4 linked regions of the Sus scrofa genome follow. The protein of the gene in region 1 purifies or fractionates together with the protein of each later gene. This does not show direct contact. Links are inferred from orthologs where the notes say so. Each region holds a gene or a part of one and is shown on either strand. Other genes may lie near its edges. The genes, in order: MAP4K4, RAP2C, STRN and STRN3.

Evidence for each region.
Region 2: the proteins of MAP4K4 (region 1) and RAP2C purify together in Homo sapiens (affinity purification with mass spectrometry; 3 studies listed by BioGRID and IntAct, counting the BioPlex papers as one, with this or other methods). This does not show direct contact. The link is inferred for Sus scrofa from reciprocal best matches to the Homo sapiens genes MAP4K4 and RAP2C.
Region 3: the proteins of MAP4K4 (region 1) and STRN purify together in Homo sapiens (affinity purification with mass spectrometry; 4 studies listed by BioGRID and IntAct, with this or other methods). This does not show direct contact. The link is inferred for Sus scrofa from reciprocal best matches to the Homo sapiens genes MAP4K4 and STRN.
Region 4: the proteins of MAP4K4 (region 1) and STRN3 purify together in Homo sapiens (affinity purification with mass spectrometry; 4 studies listed by BioGRID and IntAct, with this or other methods). This does not show direct contact. The link is inferred for Sus scrofa from reciprocal best matches to the Homo sapiens genes MAP4K4 and STRN3.

What each region holds. Positions count from the first base shown.
Region 1 is NC_010445.4:52,646,268-52,651,068, reverse strand, and holds the start of MAP4K4 (mitogen-activated protein kinase kinase kinase kinase 4), read left to right. Parts: upstream 1-1,588; 5' UTR 1,589-1,745; coding exon 1,746-1,802; intron 1,803-2,140; exon of another isoform or gene 2,141-2,161; coding exon 2,162-2,227; exon of another isoform or gene 2,228-2,424; intron 2,425-4,801.
Region 2 is NC_010461.5:108,345,457-108,350,134, forward strand, and holds the start of RAP2C (ras-related protein Rap-2c), read right to left. Parts: upstream 2,977-4,678; 5' UTR 2,863-2,976; intron 1,463-2,862; exon of another isoform or gene 1,374-1,462; intron 1,249-1,373; 5' UTR 701-1,248; coding exon 428-700; intron 1-427. UniProt on the Homo sapiens protein: Small GTP-binding protein which cycles between a GDP-bound inactive and a GTP-bound active form. May play a role in cytoskeletal rearrangements and regulate cell spreading through activation of the effector TNIK.
Region 3 is NC_010445.4:103,247,978-103,252,873, forward strand, and holds the start of STRN (striatin), read left to right. Parts: upstream 1-1,848; 5' UTR 1,849-1,992; coding exon 1,993-2,226; intron 2,227-4,896. UniProt on the Homo sapiens protein: Calmodulin-binding scaffolding protein which is the center of the striatin-interacting phosphatase and kinase (STRIPAK) complexes.
Region 4 is NC_010449.5:68,560,920-68,565,085, reverse strand, and holds part of STRN3 (striatin-3), read right to left. Parts: intron 1,887-4,166; coding exon 1,719-1,886; intron 1-1,718. UniProt on the Homo sapiens protein: Calmodulin-binding scaffolding protein which is the center of the striatin-interacting phosphatase and kinase (STRIPAK) complexes.

The sequences.
Region 1 (4,801 bases):
ATAATTTAAAAGCACTACTAAATTCATAGGGAGACTTTGGCTACTACGATTTTCCTAACCAATGGATTCTAGGACTCCCTGAAGATATTTTAGCCTGTTGAGAAATTCTCAATAGTGGAAAATCTTGGAAACCAAACTGTTGGGAGGCAGGAGAGTGCTAAACATTCTGGGTAGAAGACTAATTTGGCTGAGTCAGAGATTTGGATTTTGGGGATAGGCTAGTGAGAATCCCCGTGCCACTTCCAGGCTTAAATGCCTTTAAGGAATTTAGAAAAATTCCTTCTCTTTCAGTACTTGAGTTTCCTCTTCTCTAAAATGAGGATAACATCATCCTAGGGCTAAAGGAGAGATTAAATTGATACTACATGTAAACCAAGAACTGGTAGATAATGATGGTCGTGTTTGTGAAGCCTTTCTGGAAGGGCCTTGGGTTTTCATCCAGTGCGGCTCCAGTTCTCAAAGTGTGATCCGTTGCAGACTCCGGAGGTGGGGTCGGCGGTCAGTGTTTTTCCAAAGGTGCGCTCACGTTTGAGAACTTGTATTCACAGTCTGGCAGGTAATAGGAAGCCACGGAAAGTTTTTGTCAGTGGAGTGATGTGACACAAATGACCGTTGGGCAGACCATATATTCTTGTTTAATAGGATGAAACTGCCTAACTGCTGCCTGGCTGCCAAAGCTGCCGGAAGCAGCCAGCTTTGATGGATCCTCAGTGATCTCTAGGCACTAAACTTGGGTTAACACTTCTGGCTCCCAATACGGTGCTCACCTTTACTGAGCGAGGTACTCAACACAAGGCAATTAGAGGAGCTGTTTGAGATTCAGTTTCCAGCGAAAGTCTCCGGACCGGGCAGCCAAAACAAATGATGCTCCGTGAATCCCGAACCTAACCAGGTCCTCGGTGTAGCCTGGAAAAGGAGAGAAAGGACAAGGAAACCAGGTAGGGAAACCGGAAATGAGGGTCTTAAGCGACTAGAACCCGGGGGTGGGGGAGGGGATGGGAAGAGCGGGGGCGAGGGCGCCTGGAGGACCCTCCTCCGCGGGGATCGCGGCGGAGCCGGGCGCGGCGGGGCGGGGCTCCGGGAGGGAGGAGTCGGCCGGCCCTGCGCCCGGGGGTCCGGGTCGCTTTGCCTTTGTCGCGGGTGCTGGAAGGGCGTGCTCCCCCTCCCCCGCGCCGCCCCGAGACCCCGGCTCCCGCGCGGCCTTTGTCCGGGCCCCACCCCTGTTGAATATTCACGCCGCGCCGCGGACCCCCCCCCCCGGCCCGGCTCCAGGCGCGAGCGCGCTTCCGCCCGCTTTTCCTGCCGGAGGAGGAAAGGGGGAGCTGTTGGCTCTCCTCAGAATCTCTTTTCGGTGTCCCGTTTCTCCTCCTCCCCGCCGCCACCGCCCCCCGCCCCCCGCCTCGCGCCCGCCTCCGCCTCCGCCTCCTGGTCATCTTTGTCTGGCGGCCTCGCGCTCCGGGCTCCACTCTCGGCGGCGCCGCGGCCCCTGCTCCGGGCCGCTCGTGCAGGCGCGCGGCGGGGCGCGGGGCCGGGGCCTGAGGCGCGGGCGACGCCCGGGGGCCTGCCGGCCGCCCCGGCCATGGAGTGAGCGCCGCCGCCGCCCGCCGCCCGGCGCCCGAGCTTGCTCCCGCCTGCCGCCCCCGGCCGCGCCCGCGGGCCCGCGCCACCCGGCCGGGCCTGCGACTCCGAGAGACACACCAGAGACGAATTGATTGTGGTCGATTTGGGGGTGACGAGAAGGGAAAATGGCGAACGATTCCCCCGCGAAAAGTCTGGTGGACATAGACCTGTCCTCCCTTCGGGTGAGTGGCCGCCGCGGGGCCGGGGGACCGGGAGCGGGGCGCTGGGAGCCGGGAGCGGGGCCGCGCCCTGGCCGGCCGGGCGCTCGGGCGCCGCCGTGGGCAGATCCGCGGGCGCGGCGGCCCCTTTGTCTGCCCGAGTCGGCGTGTGCGGGGTCCGGGGCGTGACCCTCCGCCTGCGCCGCCGCCCGGACCCCGACCCCGCGCGCCCCGGGCCCCTATCGCGGCCCCCAGTTGCCGGCCACCTCGCGCCGGGCGAAGCCCACCTCCTCGGTCACCGCCCTTTCTCTCCCGCTGCCCCGCTTCTTTTATTCATTGTTGTGCTGCTTTCCAACGCTCACCCATCCTCCTCTCTTCCTTAGGATCCGGCTGGGATTTTCGAGCTGGTGGAAGTGGTGGGAAATGGCACCTATGGACAAGTCTATAAGGTCGGTGCAGGCGCCTCCTTTGTTTCCCGGGGACGGGTTGAAACTTCTGATCCGGGGACGACGGGGAGGGTGATTGGACACGCCGCCGCCCGGAGGCTCAGCCGAAGTTGGAAGAGGGGTCCGGCCTCGCCGTCCCGCTGTTTTCAGCAGAGTTTATATTCAGACTGGCCTTAAAAGACCTCATTTCTTGGCTCTCAGATAAGGAAATAAGCTCCACTCTTAGGCATGCACCTTTTTTTTTTTTTCTTTTTCTTTTTTTTTTTTCAAGGAAATGGGAAAGCATTTTTGCATCAATCTACATTTTTTTTTCCCCCCTGTCTCTCCCAAATCTGGCCTTCTGAGTTTGTGTGTTAATTAAAATTCTGGATAGGCAGGCCTCGCCTGTGATTATCCTAAACCACTGCTTTGGCCTCCTTGAGAATCGTCTTCGTGTTTCCTCGTTTGAATCCTGGCCAGGCGCTCAATGAGGAGCAGAGTTTGGTGGTGTTACCTGGGAGTACTCCATAACTACCATACATTCTACTGACGGGTACATGTTTTGGGGAGTCAGGAGGGATGTGTGTTTGGGCAATAGGAGCAGGAAGAATTACAGTGTGAGGATTATGCACTCTAAATTCCAGGAATAACCTGTTTGACAGGTGTGTAATTGAAACAGAAAAGAGGCAGAGCCTCTGAGCAAAGAGGATGCCCAGATTTCACACCCACCCCAGGTCTTTCTCTAACAGCACCCCCTCCCCCCACTTGCCCCCAACAGTAAATGAAACTAACAAATCTGAAGACTTCCTGGACACCAGATATGACTAGCCCTGCTGTTCTGGAAATGAGGGTTAGCTGTAGGTAATTGAGGGGGAAGCCTTGAGAATTTGAAACAAATGTGAAATTCTCCCCAGTCCTGATTTGTTTCTTATTACTGAACAGCTTTCTCAAAGTTATCTGCACTGGGGGTGTTTTGTAGCCTGTTAGAGTGTTGTAGCTGGGTACAAGATTGGGACAGAAAAAAAATATCTTATGAAGCAGGGCTTTGTGGTTGGCTGTGAAGAATTGTCATTGTCTCATTAAAAATGGACAGGGGGGGGAGGGAGTGTGTGTGGGGGGGTTGGAAGCTGACTGTAGACCGTTTTCTTAGGCCAAATTAAGTGTGGATCCTATTGTCTCTTTTCTGCTTTGTGAATAGGGCTTATCTGCTTCTCCAAGGCCTCTCCCCAGCCCTAGCTTCCCCTGGCCTGGGCTGTGTACTGGCCTGGGTTGTGTACTGGCCTGTGGCCTGAACTTGAGTCTGTATTCTTAGGTGATCTCTAGTGAATTAGCATGTGTTTTGTTGGTTAACAGTTGGGGCCTCAGCCAGATTTTTGAATTTGAAAGGGAGCCCTGTTAACGCAGCCCGCTGGGCTCAACTGAATTTGGAAGCCTTTGGAAAATTATGGAAAAGATTGTGTTGCAACTCCCCGAGTGGTCTGCTCACTGGCTTAAAAACATTTTCCGGAGCCCCAGTGTTTGTTTAAGCACCGGTAGTTTTTTTCTAACCCAGTTTTTCTGGCTTAATCTGAGTGTTGAGTGTTGTCTTCCAAGTGAGTTAGCCAGAACTTGTTTTGACCTGGTTACACAGTAGTTGGATTGTTTGTGTCTTCTCGGGTCAAGGTGGGTGTGAGTGCTGGTGAAGTAAATTAGAAGCTGACTGTCCTTTTTTTTTTTTTTTTTTTTTTTTTTTAATCGTTAGAATAAAGAATGAGACCTGAATGTGTCCTCATTGGTTTAAGAGTTAGGAATTCTTTTTTTTTTGGTCTTTTTGCCATTTCTTGGGCCACTCCTGCAGCATATGGAGGTTCCCAGGTTAGGGGTCAAATTGGAGCTGTAGCCACTGGCCTACGCCAGAGCCACAGCAACGCAGGATCCGAGCCGTGTCTGCAACCTACACCACAGCTCAGGGCAATGCTGGATCCTTAACCCACTGAGCAAGGGCAGGGATTGAACCCGCAACCTCGTGGTTCCTAGTCGGATTCGTTAACCACTGCGCCACGACGGGAACTCCCAAGAGTCAGGAATTCTTTATGGGGGCAGTTGGGGCAGGTTCATAGCCAAGGGCTTCCCCTCGTACTTCTCTCTTGTGGTTCCCCTTTTCCCCAAGCTTTTGAGGTACATTTGCTGAGCACGATCTTTGGGAGGTGTTGGGCATGGTGGCAGTGGCACAGTGTCACTACAGTCAGTGTAGCTAAGGAGAAACTCTCATATTATGCAAACCTGAGGAATTAAGAAATCTGTGCATCAGTGGCATGCAATCCGGAGCAAGAGTGCCTGAGGTTTTTTTCTCGCCTGCCCTGCCGTTATTTTATTATTACGGAGAGTTTGAAACTGATGCCAAAGAGAGAGCACCAGTTTAACAGTTACCAGCACGTGATTAATCTGGTTTTGTCTGCCTCCCCTCTCCTCCCATTATCTTAAAGCCCAGATACTGTTTCACCCAAAGATACTTCAGGATGTGCCTTTTTTTGTTTTTTAGATAGTCACAATGCTGTTCTTACCCCCCCCCCCCCCATGAATTCCTTCCTATCAAAGAAAGGTTCGGTGTTAACATTT
Region 2 (4,678 bases), on another chromosome or scaffold:
GGGGAGGAAGGGACGTAGACGCAGAGGAGTTATCTGTGCAACAGATAATCGGCTCCAAATAATTTTCTTTCCAAAGTGCTCTATCTGCCCGAGATTATCTTTGAAACGTTGTTCTGCTGAGTACATTAACCAAGACCTGGTGAGGTGAACGAGCAACTTCAGATGGTTATATGCCAGGCTAAATATACACTGGCTGACATGTCTTTTTCACTTCTCTTTCACTCGAAAATAACTTTAAAATATTTGTGAACGGTAGTGCCTTTAGTCCTCGCTATAGAAACAACTCGATGCTTTTCCGTGCCAGGAGAAACCTCAAAAATGCGCCATGTCTAACTTTCAAAAGCAAAACACAGTCATTTACGCAAGCAAACCAGAAGTAAATGTAGTTTACCACACCCCCTTCTAACAAATTACAAGACTTGGTTACCTGAAAAGACTGTTGATTAACCAGACTATAAACCAGGATGAAACCTTGGCCGTTTTTGATGTAGAGATCTCTCATGGAGGCAAACTGCTCAGTTCCTGCGGTGTCCAGAATTTCCAGCACGGAGGGGGAAGAGTCCACTTCGATCTCTTTGCGGTAGAAATCTTCAATGGTGGGGTCATATTTCTCAATGAAAGTCCCGGTGACAAACTGCACAGTAAGGGCAGATTTGCCAACCCCTCCGCTCCCTAACACCACTACCTTGTACTCCCGCATGAGTCTCTCCTTCACCAACTCCTACCAGAGGGAGGGAAAAATAACACCCCGCTCGCGGCGGCGCGGCTCGGGGAGGCGGAAGGTGGGCGGAAATCTGCGAACCCGGGAGGAGAGCGCAGAGCAGCCGAGGGCCCGACGGGGGAAGAAGAGGAAGTTAAAGGAGGGGGAGGGGAAAGAGCGAAGTGTCGGGGTGGGTGGGGATGGGATGGTAATGCCCTTCCTATAGGAACCGGAGCCCAGGCAGGGGGCGTGGGGAGAAGGCGAGCCCCGAAAAGCTGGGAGGCTGGGGAGGCGACACGCGCCCCCCGCCCCGGGAGGGAAGGGGTGGGCGCCGCAGGACAGACGGGGGGCCCCCCGCGGAAGGCGGGCGTCCGAGGAGCCCGCGGCCCGGGGCTGCCCCGCGCCCCTCCCCCGCCCTTCACACAAAGGGGCCCAGGGACCCCGCTTCCTGCTCGCGCCGCCGAGCCAGCCCAGGCCTGTGGGCTCCGCTCCAGTCGCTGCCGCCCGGGCGGGTCTCTGGGCCGCGGCTCCCGCGGGCGTCGTCCGGCCTGTGATGGGGGGGTGGGGGGCGGAGAGGGCGCGCGTTACCCGCCGGACCCCCGCCCGCCCCCGTCGGGCAGCCCGGGCGGCCGCCTCCCCCGGCTCCCACCCGGGCCCGGCCGCCCCCGCTTACCCTGCCGTCCGCACCCGCCCGGCCGCCCGGGAGGCTGTGTCACGCCAAGGCCATGGCCACTGGCCGGCTCCTCGGTCTCACCGCCGCCCCTGCGCTGCGGCTCGCGGAGGGGAAAGGGGCGGGGGCCGTCCGGCGGCGGCGGCGGCAGCGGCGGCGGCCGCTGGGACTCCAGGCGAACCCACCTCTTTTTTTTTTTTTTTTTTTTCTCACCCTCCCCCCACCCCCCCACCCCCAGCACACACCCGGAAGGGTTTCCCTGACACACTGGTGGAGGTGCCCCAGTTCCCTGAGACGGGACGGGATCACTTCCGGTGGGGAAAGTCCCACCTCTCCCGGGGCGAGCCGGGTGGCGCTGGGGCCGCGCCCTGCTGAGCGAGTCGGCCCAGGACGGTTTCGGGTCGGGGCTACGGCCTTGGCAAAGGGCCTGTCCGAGAACCTCCGGCGCCCTTCCTTTCTCTGCCTGCCCGCAACTGCTGTTCCTGCTGCTGCTGCTGCTGCTGCTGCTGCCGCTGCTGCTGCGGACAGTCCCACCCCCGAGCCCGCGGAAGCCCCTAGGAGTCTCAGCAGCCCCCGGCCCGGCCTGAGGACTTGATCCGCTGGTTGGCGGAGCTAAAGATCCGCACAACGCCTATCATCCCTGGACCAGAAGTCGCAGGGAAAATAAAACGGCCGAGAAAGTTGATGCTCTTTGCTGGTATTTTCATGCACTTGCTATTTTTCTAAGAAACGCGTGCACATTAGCCTTCGACTTCACGAATAGCTCGGATTTCATATGTGGTGTGTTTTATTTAGCTGTGCCTGACAGTTAACGCACACACACTCGGTACTTTTATCATCCGGTAAATCTGCCTTGACTCCACCAGCAAATGCCGAAGCCACTCCTTTCTTTCTTATCGCCAGGCTCGAAAACCAAAGGGATTAGGAGTAGCCTTTATGGGACTCTAACTCAGCTTTGTCCCTTTTGGAGTCCCCAGGCTTCGCAGCGGGGAAGAGTTGATTGGAAACTGTTTAGGCCTGCACGCTAACTTCTTTGAATCTTTTCATTATCTGCAGGCACAGCAATTTGCATGGCTGGCTCTTCCAAGTTAAAGTTTGTTTTAAGTCTTTGAAATTCAAAAGCAGAGGACTTAGTGCTAACCACTAAGTTTCTATTTTTAGATAAAATTGTTACTTTTTACATATCTTACCCTCTGCTAACTTTCTATTTGTAAACTTTGTGTCCGATCCACAGAGCCCCAGGGTCAGAAGCCTAGGTTATATTTTAGGAATGTCACTCCTTTTCTGATTCTAGCATGCACCCCGACGCCTGAAAGTCAGTGACCAGTCGAGTTAAAGCGACCCCAAATCCCTTACGTGGAAGCCTTAATGGCCTGACTGTATCAAAAGGGATTTGTTACCAAACCCAAATTGTGTAACATTAGAAAACAGGCAAATTACAGTCGTGTGAAATCCCACTGTCTCTCCCTGGGTGCTCCCCAATGTCACTTACAGTATCCAAGGGACAGTTACGTTCACTTTCTCCTCAGCCTAGGGCTGGTGCAATCTGTCCAGCGAAGTTCCCAGCTCTGGCTCCAGCTGGCCCGCGTCCCGCCTGATATCTGAGGCACTGCCCTCTGCTGGAAGAGGTTTGGTCTATGAATTATGAGTCTTCCCCATAGGTCACTGCTCCTTCCACACGTGCTGTTGCCGGATTTGGAGCTCTGCTGCCCATCTCCCTGTCTAGCTGTCTCCAGACTGTCTGGGGGGGGGGGGGATGGGGGGGGGGAAATCCATAGCCCTGTACCAGCCCTGCTTGGAACTGAGTCTGGAAATTCCTCCTCTGATCCAGCAATTAGTGTTGGGCAATTGTGGCAAGTCTGTGCTCTGTCACTAAACTGTCAAAACAGGCTGCTCTTCTTTTTGAGGTGGTCCCACTTGTTGGCAACTCTAATATCTCTGAATGTGTTGGCCAAACTATTTTGGAGAGAATTCTTTGTTTCTCCACACAGTGAAACATACTCCTTACCGAAGTACAGAGTCCTACTGGGACACTCTTATTGGCTACAGAATTGGCAAATGTCACACTCATTCTGATGACCCTTCTAAACTTTCTTAGAAAGTGTATTCATTACAGCAGCATTTTAGGAAAGCACACACTTGGAAGTAACTTAAGTCTCCTTCAACAGATGATTTAAAAAAGTAATGTGTGTACACACACACACGGAAACACTTGCAAGTAACCTAAATGTCCTTTGATAGACGATGTAAAAAATAATGTACACACACACACTTGGAAACACTCGAAAGTCACCTAAACATCCTTCACTAGATGATTTAAAAAATCATGCACGCGCACACACACACACTCACAAAATAGGAGACCATGCAGCTATTTAAAAGAGAAAAAGTAGATTTGTAAGTGCTGTTATGAAAAGACGGTCAAGGTATATTGTGAGGATGAAAAAAGTTAGATGCTGAGCAAAGAGATAGTTGCTCCCATTTATGTAAAATATGTGAGTGTGTGCAATATGTAATTACATAGCCATTAAAATCTGAAACAAAGGCATTAATTATTGGTGAGGGGTATTCTGAAAGGACTTTGATTTCTCCATATCATTTTAATTTCTAAGCCATGATCAGGTATTACTGGGGAAAAGAGGAATAAATATAATTTTATAATATTTTTAGAGAAGAAATATAAAATGTTGCTCATCGTTTCCTCCACCCCCCCCCAATATCCTGACTGTCTGGGGTCAGTGGGCAGGTCTGCCCAATTTAAACTCCCTCCTCCTGCCCATCCTGTCCTCCCAAACATCTCTATACTTAGAAAAGTATTTTCACATACATTATCTCATTAGACTCCAGTTGTTCACCCGTTTACTTTTATTAGGCAATGAGAGTATAAACACCAATTAGAAGAGGACAGCCCAGCAGTTGAGAGCCATGGGCCCCGAAGCAAGGCAGACAGGCCTTTCAAGGGCAACTCCTCCACCTCCTAGCTGTGGGACCTCGAGCAAGTGATTTCACTCCTCTGAACCTCAAACTCCTCACCTGGAAAATGGAGCTAATCATTTACCGTGGGAATGTAATGAATTATTACATGTAAAATGCTTAGCACAGTCCCTTGCTCATTATGAACCATCGAGAAATGCTAGCTATTTGGTTTTTATTTTAAAGATTTAACAAAGGTTTTTTTTTTTTTAAGAACAGCAAACACGGAGGAAAAAAAAAACAGAGCTTTAAAAGCCCAAGTATCTCCAAACAGCACAAAAATAACTCAGTTATTCTTTCCAAAGGTGTTTATTGTTAAAGTCTTCTTGTGTTTC
Region 3 (4,896 bases), about 51 Mb from region 1:
AATTGCAATCTTGTAAGATTACTTAAATCCCTCAGATGAAAAAATACGCCATTGTTGCATTACTGTCCCCTCAATACTCTGATAGATTTGATAAGTAAGGGAGGAGATAATCTGTTAATGGAAAGATTGATGAACTAACAATCAGTAATTCTCATTTCTAGTTTTGCCTGCGCCACTCACTCAAAGTCTTATTGTGAAAAAGTTAAACTTCTTTAGAATCCCAAACCGTAAAATGAGAGGACTGGGCAGTATCTCAAAGGATACTTACAGCCAAAATAATTTATGACACAGGGAGTTGGCCAGGCCTGGATCAAACTTTTATTACAATAAAGAATGAATTCATAAAGCAGAAACATTCAATAACTGGGAGAAGAGAGCTAGCCATCTTTATTTGCAACCAGAGCAGATACAATGTGTTTCCTGTCCTTTCCACAAGTAGCAGTGGGAAGAGGGGGAGGGGGAATACAGGGACAGGATGTCCTTCCCTGACATGTCACTCACTAGCCTATATTTTTATATTTTTTTCCATGGCCATTAGGTTTGATATCCCAGAAGCCCATCCCACAAAAGAACTACAAATAACTTTTTGTAGGGACAAAATAAGTGCTTAATTTCATTTTCACTTGTTAAATTTTTTCAGGTCCCTTCCTTTCATTATCATTGTAGTGTGAATTAATAAGTGACATAATTTCAAGAACTTGGGAGAAGGATAACATTTAGAGAGAAACACTTGAAAGGACTTTGATGGGCCTTTGGTAGATTAATACTATTGCCAGATTGCAAGTGAAACGTGGAAGAAACTGGGAACCGGACAAGTGAAAAAGGAGAGGTGCCCGGATACCTAAGATAGCTCTAGGGAGTAGAAAGGGATTTTGTTCTTTTAAATAGTGTAACTTTAGGGCATTGCGAGAATTGATTGTATAGTTGCCAGTCTGCCTTTGAAGACAGGAACTGTGTCATTTATCTTTATATCCCCAATGAGATAACTTACAGTCAAATATTTGTTGAAATGTGTACCGACTGCTCAGGGATAAGGAAAAATGAGTTCGAAATAAAAGAGCCTTGGATATTTGTAACGTTTACAGGATTTACTGCAAGCTATAAAGGAGGTGAAGCAGAGCCCTGTTTTAGATGTGGTGTCACCAAACCAAAAATTGCAAGAAACAGAAAGCTGCTGTGTTGCGTTCAGGACAGAGAGATGATTAGTTCCTTCTAAATGAAAAGTGATCAGGCAACAGGTTTGACTGAACCTCTAGCGAGAAAAAAGGCAGGAACGACCGCGATAAGGAGATGGACAGAAGTGGAGTGTCTTGGGTCAGAGAATCACTCTAGACAGAGCAGAAGGGAGAGGTCCGAGCGTGCTGGCTAGAGAATCCCGGGCCATGGGGTCGGACCGGCGAAGCTTGCTTTGAGCTTGTTTCTTAACAGAACTACCAGGAAGCCGTAGGAGATGTGCAGCTTAGGCTGGCATTTCGGCGCGGTAACTTCCGTGTGTGTGTGTGTGTGTGTGTGTGTGTCTGCAACAGTGAGCGCCTTGTGTGTGTGTGTGTATGCGCGCCACAGTGAGCGCCGCCCAAGAACTTCCGCGTGCTAGGGAGGCTGGAGGACCGCCAGCCAGCCCCTGCTTAACCAAGAGGAAACCCGCGCTCCCCGCCGGGGGCCGCCCCTTCTCCGCCATGGGCTGGGGCGGGCCCGGGGGCGGGGCCGCGGTGGAGCCGCAGCCGGTCGCAACCCCTCAGGCAGCCCGGGCGGTGCTCGCCGGCACCACGCCCCGCGACTACATTTCCCAGCAAGCCCCGCGCCGCCCGCGCACCGCAGTTGACCCATTTCCCGGCCCGTCCCGAGCTCGGCCGGCCCCCGCGCCCAGGCGGCTGCTCCCTGCTGACTGGGGTGTGGGCGGGGAGCGGCGGAGGGAGGAGGAGACGCTGCTGGCCGCCGCCGTTGCCTCAGCTGCTGGGCGCCTGGGCAGCTCCCCGGGTTCCTGCGGCCGCCATGGACGAGCAGGCGGGTCCCGGCGTCTTCTTCAGCAACAACCACCCGGGCGCCAGCGGTGCCAAGGGTCTCGGGCCTCTGGCGGAGGCTGCCGCGGCCGGCGACGGGGCGGCTGCGGCGGGGGCGGCGCGAGCCCAGTACAGCCTCCCGGGAATCCTGCACTTCCTTCAGCACGAGTGGGCCCGCTTCGAAGTGGAGAGAGCCCAGTGGGAAGTAGAGCGGGCGGAGCTGCAGGTAAAGACCCTCCCGGCCTGGCCGTCTTCATCCCGCCTCTCCGCTCTCTTCCGCCCCGCCCCGGACCCTTCCCCCTCCCCCGCTCCGCTCGCTCGTCCCCTCCCCCTTTGCTCCAGCCCATCCCACCCAGAACCTCATCCCCTTCCTCCCTTCACCTTTGCCTTTAGGTGACCCCACTTCCTCGACCCGGGTTCCCACTCCCAGCTCCCCCCCCCATGCGTTGTTTACCCTCCCCGCACCTTTTCGTCTGCTCCTTCCCACTCTTAACTCTCAGGCTTGTTTGAACTCTCTCGCCATTCCACATTTTAGGTCTTCCCTTTCAGTTTACTAATTGGGCTGACAGTAGTTTTGAGAGATGAGCAAATCATCCCCTATCCTAGTGAGTGGCCCTCCTAGGTCTAGAGAAGATGCCTGGAAAAGGTATTGACAGTTGGCGCCTCTCTGTGAGGAAGGCGATCAGAGAAGACAACAGAAGTTGTATCCGTGAGGCCTTGACTTTAAGGCAAGAAGCTGCCGTTGGGTCAAAGTGTTACTAGGAATATCTGCTCCCTTTTTATATATGTAAATGTTTCTTCTTTTACTTCTTCCTCATCCCATCCCGCGTTTCTTTTAGATATTTCAGACTCGTGGATTTTGAATGAAGAATCTAGATAGATAATCACAGTCAGATAATGGTTCAGAGATGGTTTCTTGTTCTCAGAATCTAAAACTTCCCAAGGGTTAATTTTATGTTCAGGGTTTTGTGAGACTGACTTGTACTTTAAAAGGAACTAAAAGGAGCTTCAAAGTTGGTTACATTTCCTTGCATAATCTACAAGATAAAGTATATCCAGGGAGGAGCTATTGTGGGATCTTGGAAGAATGAAAGTGAGGCTGATACTTTGCAGGCCATTCTGAACTGGTAAGTAGGTTTCAGTGGCTGTTTTTAAAACTTCCAAGGCATACACTAATTTCACAAGGAATTTAAAGAACTACGAGTGGCTCTGCCTTTCTGTCTTTCTGGCTAATCCTGTATGCTTGTGAAATCTGAGTATAGTTTTGGTTGGTGAAACACTTGAAGTTAAAGTGCTACCCACTGTGTCACTTTTTTTGGTACCATGTATTTTCTTTGGCACTTAAGAGGAAAGAAGAAACAATCATGTTAAATAGAATCATGTGCTGTAACAGGCTGCTTTGGTGTAGTGCAAGTGGTTGTGGAAAGAGCAAGCAGAAGGGGTTACAGTATAAGCTGTGCTTGCTGCCTGCTCTTTGACCTTGAGGAAATCCTTTAACTTTTCTGAACTTCAGTTTCATCATTTATTTATTCAGCGTATTTATTGAATGCGTATTTATTGAGTAACTGTAGTTACTCCTCAGTTTTGCCCTCTCTACCTTACCCCCTCCCTGCCCCAATATATACACACACACTACTTACTGGGTTATTTATGGCAAATGTTAAACTTCAAGTAGGTTTCCCATTGGTGCTTATACTAAGGGCACTACATTTTTACAGTATCTTGGTTTGTGCTCCAGTTCAATTAAGCATCCATGGAGAAACTTAGAAAATGTGCCATAGTTTTTTGTTTTTTGGTTTTTTTTTTTTGGTCTTTTGTCTTTTGAGGGCCACACCTGCGGCATATGGAGGTTCCCAGGCTAGGGGTCTAATTAGAGCCGTAACTTTTGGCCCATGCCAGAGCCACAGCCACACCAGATCCAAGCCATGTCTATGACCTATACCACAGGTCATGGCAACACCGGATCCTTAACCCACTGAGCGAGGCCAGGGATCGAACTCACAACCTCGTGGTTCCTAGTCGGATTCGTTCCGATGCGCCATGACAGGAATTCCTGCATAGTTTTTAAACAGAGCAAATAGGCATTTTGGGAGGAGGGAGTTTCCAGGAATCTGTGGTTTTTGACCTCCTTATTAGTATAATTGAATATATATTTTAAAAATAATTTCTTTATATCAACATCATTAAATTCGACCATATCCCTTCTTTTTTCCATCAGAATCTTTCTAGTAGGAAATAAGAATTGAATGAATGGTAATGAAATTTGGAACAGTTGGTATCATCTTTTTAATTTTTAAATCTCTTCTTAAGTCAATACCAGAGTCAACAAAAATACTTTTAAGATTAGGTCTGATTTTTCTCTTCAGGAACCTGTCAGTCCTGCTCTTTCAAGTTGCCTGGGCAGAGTTGTGAAAGGCAACCCAAGCTCTCATCTCCCTGGCTTGCTTACACCATATCCTCCGTCCTTCAGATCTTGGGAGTAAGGAACTGGCCACATTATGCCAAAAACTTATTCGTCATTTCTTGCCCCCTTGTCCATCTTTGTTAACATAAAACTCTCTTTTTATTTTTGGCAATCTCTCTCCCACCTTCCCAGCACCATTCAAATGAGAGTAGGTAATTTATGGGAAAAAAATGGTCAAGATTATTCCTGAGCTTTATATTTGTGAAAGAAATTGAAGATAGAATATAAATCATAATATTTTAAAGATTTTTTAGTGTAGGAGACATTGTGCTAAATGCTCTCAAACATGCTGTCTAGTTGGAGTAATAGAACAAACAAATTGCATAGGAATCAATTTTTATCATTTTGGGGGCTTAAATTTTCTGTAAAGAGTGTAAGAAAGGAGAGCTAGTGGTGAATTGGGAGGGTAGAAGGGAAAAAGACCTTATGAAG
Region 4 (4,166 bases), on another chromosome or scaffold:
GAGATATAATAATAGTTAACTTTCTCTCAATTATTAAAAATATTTATAATATTCTACTTAACATTATAAGAAAAATATAACTAGAGGACTCAAAGTAAGAGTAGATATGCATAAGAGTTACTGTTCTCCTATGCATTTTCTTCTTCTAAGAGAGAAAAAAAATTCTAATTGAGTCTTTGGGCCCACCCGCCAATTAAATTTCTTAATGTAAAAGGATAAATTAGCATTCACCATATCACTATGTTTGGTGAATGAGACCTGTAAGCTTTATCAAGCAGCTAATAAAAGTCAAACTTTTGGATCTGAAAAAGAAGCTTTGGACTCTAAATCCATTCATGCAATACACTATACTAACGTGACCCAAGCAGCAATTTCTTTTATTTTTTTAATTTTTAATTTTTTGCTTTTTAGGGTCGTTCTCAAGGCATATAGAGGTTCCCAGGCTAGGGGTCGAATTGGAACTACAGCTGCCAGCCTGCACCACAGCCACAGCAACGCCAAACCCGAGCCACGTCTGCGACCTATACCACAGCTCACAGCAATATCAGATCCTTAACCCACTGCGCAAGGCCAGGGATTGAGCCCGCAACCTCATGGTTCCTAGTTGGATTCACCTCTGCTGCACTACGATGGGAATTCCAGCAATTTCCCTCTTTTAACATACTAAATTCAACTGTCCAAATGCAATGCACAACTACATGAAATCTTGAGTAAGAATTAATTATGTGAATGAAGCCAAGAAACAAATATCTAACCAAATTTTTACCTCAAAAGCTTAGATAACTGAAAAATTAGTAAATCACTAAACTATCTAGAGACCCAAGAAAATCAAGCATAAATGTTATAAAAAATGTTTTAAAAAGAAAAAATAAAAATAAAAGACATGAAAAAAAAAGATATGATTTTTTAAAAAACTGCTTGGAAAATAAGATCAAAGAAATAATATAAGCATGTTATGTAAATAAATGTCACAACAAGGTTAATTAAAGCCTTCTTTGACAGGAAAAGATTTGAAATTGTGTGTGTAACTCAGTTTGCACCTCCCAGTTATGGGTGCTAGACATATCAACCAGTGAGCTCACATCACACATGGTTTACACAGGTATGCTTGAGACTGTGACCCCTTTAGTCACAGCCACAAGAGCTGATGAAGAGCTATTGTTCCTTTGAGCAGTCTCATCTGTCTACTGTTACATACAGACAGTTCTATTCTGTTGTCCTGAAAAAGGTCAAAAAAGCACCCAGCTACAGGATATACTTGCAAAAGCTCCTTTCTTGTTTATTGAAGATGACTAGGAGTAAAAAAGATTATCACAGCTTCACAAAGTTCTTTTAGTATTTCTTCAAGCGGCCAAGAAACAGTAAATTGACTTTGTCCTATCTTCCAAATTTATTTATTTATTTATTTATTTATGTCTTTTTGCCTCTTCTAGGGCCATTCCCGCAGCATATGGAAGTTCCCAGGCTAGGGGTCTAATTGGAGCTGTAGCCACCAGCCTATGCCAGAGCCATAGCAACGCGGGATCTGAGCTGCATCTGCAACCTACACCGCAGCTCATGGCAACAGTGGATTCTTAACCCACTGAGCAAGGCCAGGGATCGAACCCACAACGTCATGATTCCTAGTTGGATTCGTTAACCACTGAGCCACAACGGGAACTCCTATCTTCCAAATTTAAAAGAAATTAGTTTTTTTCAAAGAGGCAAAATTTCCTTACCCTTGTCTCCGTTGTAAGTGCAAATACATGGCAATTTTTCTTGTGGATTCCATAACCTAATAGTGCCATCTGCTGAACAAGATAGTAATTGATTTTTTATGCCACTATAAGCAAGACCCCAGACAGCATCTGTATGAGCAACTAAAGTGCCAGCTAGAACATTTGGCTCTGGAAAGAAAGAAATAAAAATGAGCTACAAGAAGTTTAAAATAAATGCTTTTGTATATAAGGATAACTTACCACATAATTATGTATAAAGAATGTACATAATGGGTATAATAAGACAAACCAAAGTGTACACAGTAACCACCTCTAAGTTCTGGAATTATGAGTTATTTTTATCCCCCCTTCCAATACTTTTTTAGTTTTGCAATTTTCTATAAAGAACATGTACTTACAAAAAAAAAAAACAGCTTTATTGAGATATAATTCCTATGCCATAAAACTCACCAATTTAAAGTGTCAATTCAATGGTTTTTAGTTGTGCAATCATCACCACATCAATTTTAGCACACTTTCATTACTTTTTAGCTATTTCCCCTATTCTTTCTCTCTGCCTTTCTGTAGCCCTGGGCAACAACTAATCTATTTTTTTTCTATACATTTGCCTATTCTGGACATTTCATACAAATGGCCTTTTGTGACTGGCTTCTTTCACTTAGCCTAACGTGGAGCATGTATCAGTACTTCATTGCTTCTTATTGCCAAATAGCATTCCAGTACCTGGATATACTACATTTTATTCATCCAATCATTATTTGATGGACAATGGTGGCTAATTACCCTGAACATCATTTGTCTTACAATGTGGTTTCTCTACTAAATTCCCAGCTTCCACAGATATTTCTCTTCATCTCTGCAACACTCCCACTTCCCAACCTCCCTCCCTCCCTCATGAACAATTTTCTCTCAATGTCACTGGAAAAACGCAGCACTGAAATAGGAACCCATCCTCTATCTTCCTCTAGCCAACCTATAAAGCTACTAGTGTCTAAAGCCATCTTCTGTACATTTCCTCATACAAGTAAGGAATTATCCTCCTTCCTATTACAGGCTAATTCCACCAGGTATTCTGGATTCCCCTTAAAACACTAACTTGCTTTCATGTTTACAGTTTTTCTACTATACAGATTCTCTTCCTCCTTGGAATAATTACCACAGCAAGCAAATATGCTCCAAACAATTACACCAACCTCCCACCAAATAGTAGAAAAATATATTGAATAAACATGCTTTCTAACCTCCCATTTATTCTTGAAATCACTCCGATACCATCACACAGCAAAACAACCCTTGCTAAAATAACCAATAAACTCTATTCTATCAAATTTAATAAAAACTTGCTTCCCTTCCTCCCTCCCTCCTAGCACATTGCTTTTCATCCATAGTGTATGCCTTGAAAGGTTACTTAGAAGTCCCTTCACCCCTTAGCCCCAACCCAATCTATATTGTCTGGCCAAAGCCTGGGTGACCTATTTGTTATTTACAAAAAGGAACCTATCACATTAGACTTTTCTTATTTATTGAAAATGACTACTGCAGACTGCTTTCTTCTTTTCAAAATGGCTTCTTCTTCTGGTATGCTTTCATGATTCCACACTTACCTGTACTTCCTCCTACCTCACAGGCCACTCCTTCTCAGTTTTCTTCATTGCCTCTCTTGCTCTAACTACTCCTGGCCCCCAATGTCAGAGTTCCTCAGGATTTTGTCTTCTCTTTCTACTCTACATGACATATTCTCCCTACATAATACCATCCATTCTCACATCTTGATACTGATATACTTACTTAAGATTACCATCTCTTAACATGCCAAAAAACTGAACTCACCATCCTTTATCTTCTCACACCTGTCTGTCCCCATTTCAATATGCTACCATCATATACTCAATTGCTCATGCCAAAAATGCAGGAGTGGTGACGAAAGTTCTGAAATAAACAGTGGTAATGGTTGCCCATCCCTGTGAATATGGTAAAAACTACTGAAATGTATACTTCAAAAGTGTGAATTTTATCATGTGAATTGTACCTAAATAAAGCTGTTAAAGAATAAGTCACTCATCCATCATTTCATCCACTTAATCCAATTTATCATATATTCTGTCTATTCCCCCCACCTCTCCAGCATGTCTTTTTTTTTTTTCTTTCATAATTGAGAATTTTATTGTTGTTTTGAGGCTTAGTACATGGACATTTCAATCCAGCATGCCTTAAATCCATTTCTCTCCAAGTGCTCTGCTACCACTGCTCTACGACCACTCTAATCTTGACAACATTATCTCTCACCTAATCTACTGGAATCACTGTTACAACTTTACATTAAATGACATTGATATTTTTTTCTCCACTCTTCCCACCCCCAATCTATTTTCCTTGCAACAGCAAGAGTTATCTTTTTAAATTCTACATTTATAGGACACTTCCTAGCTTAAAACTCTTTACTAAACG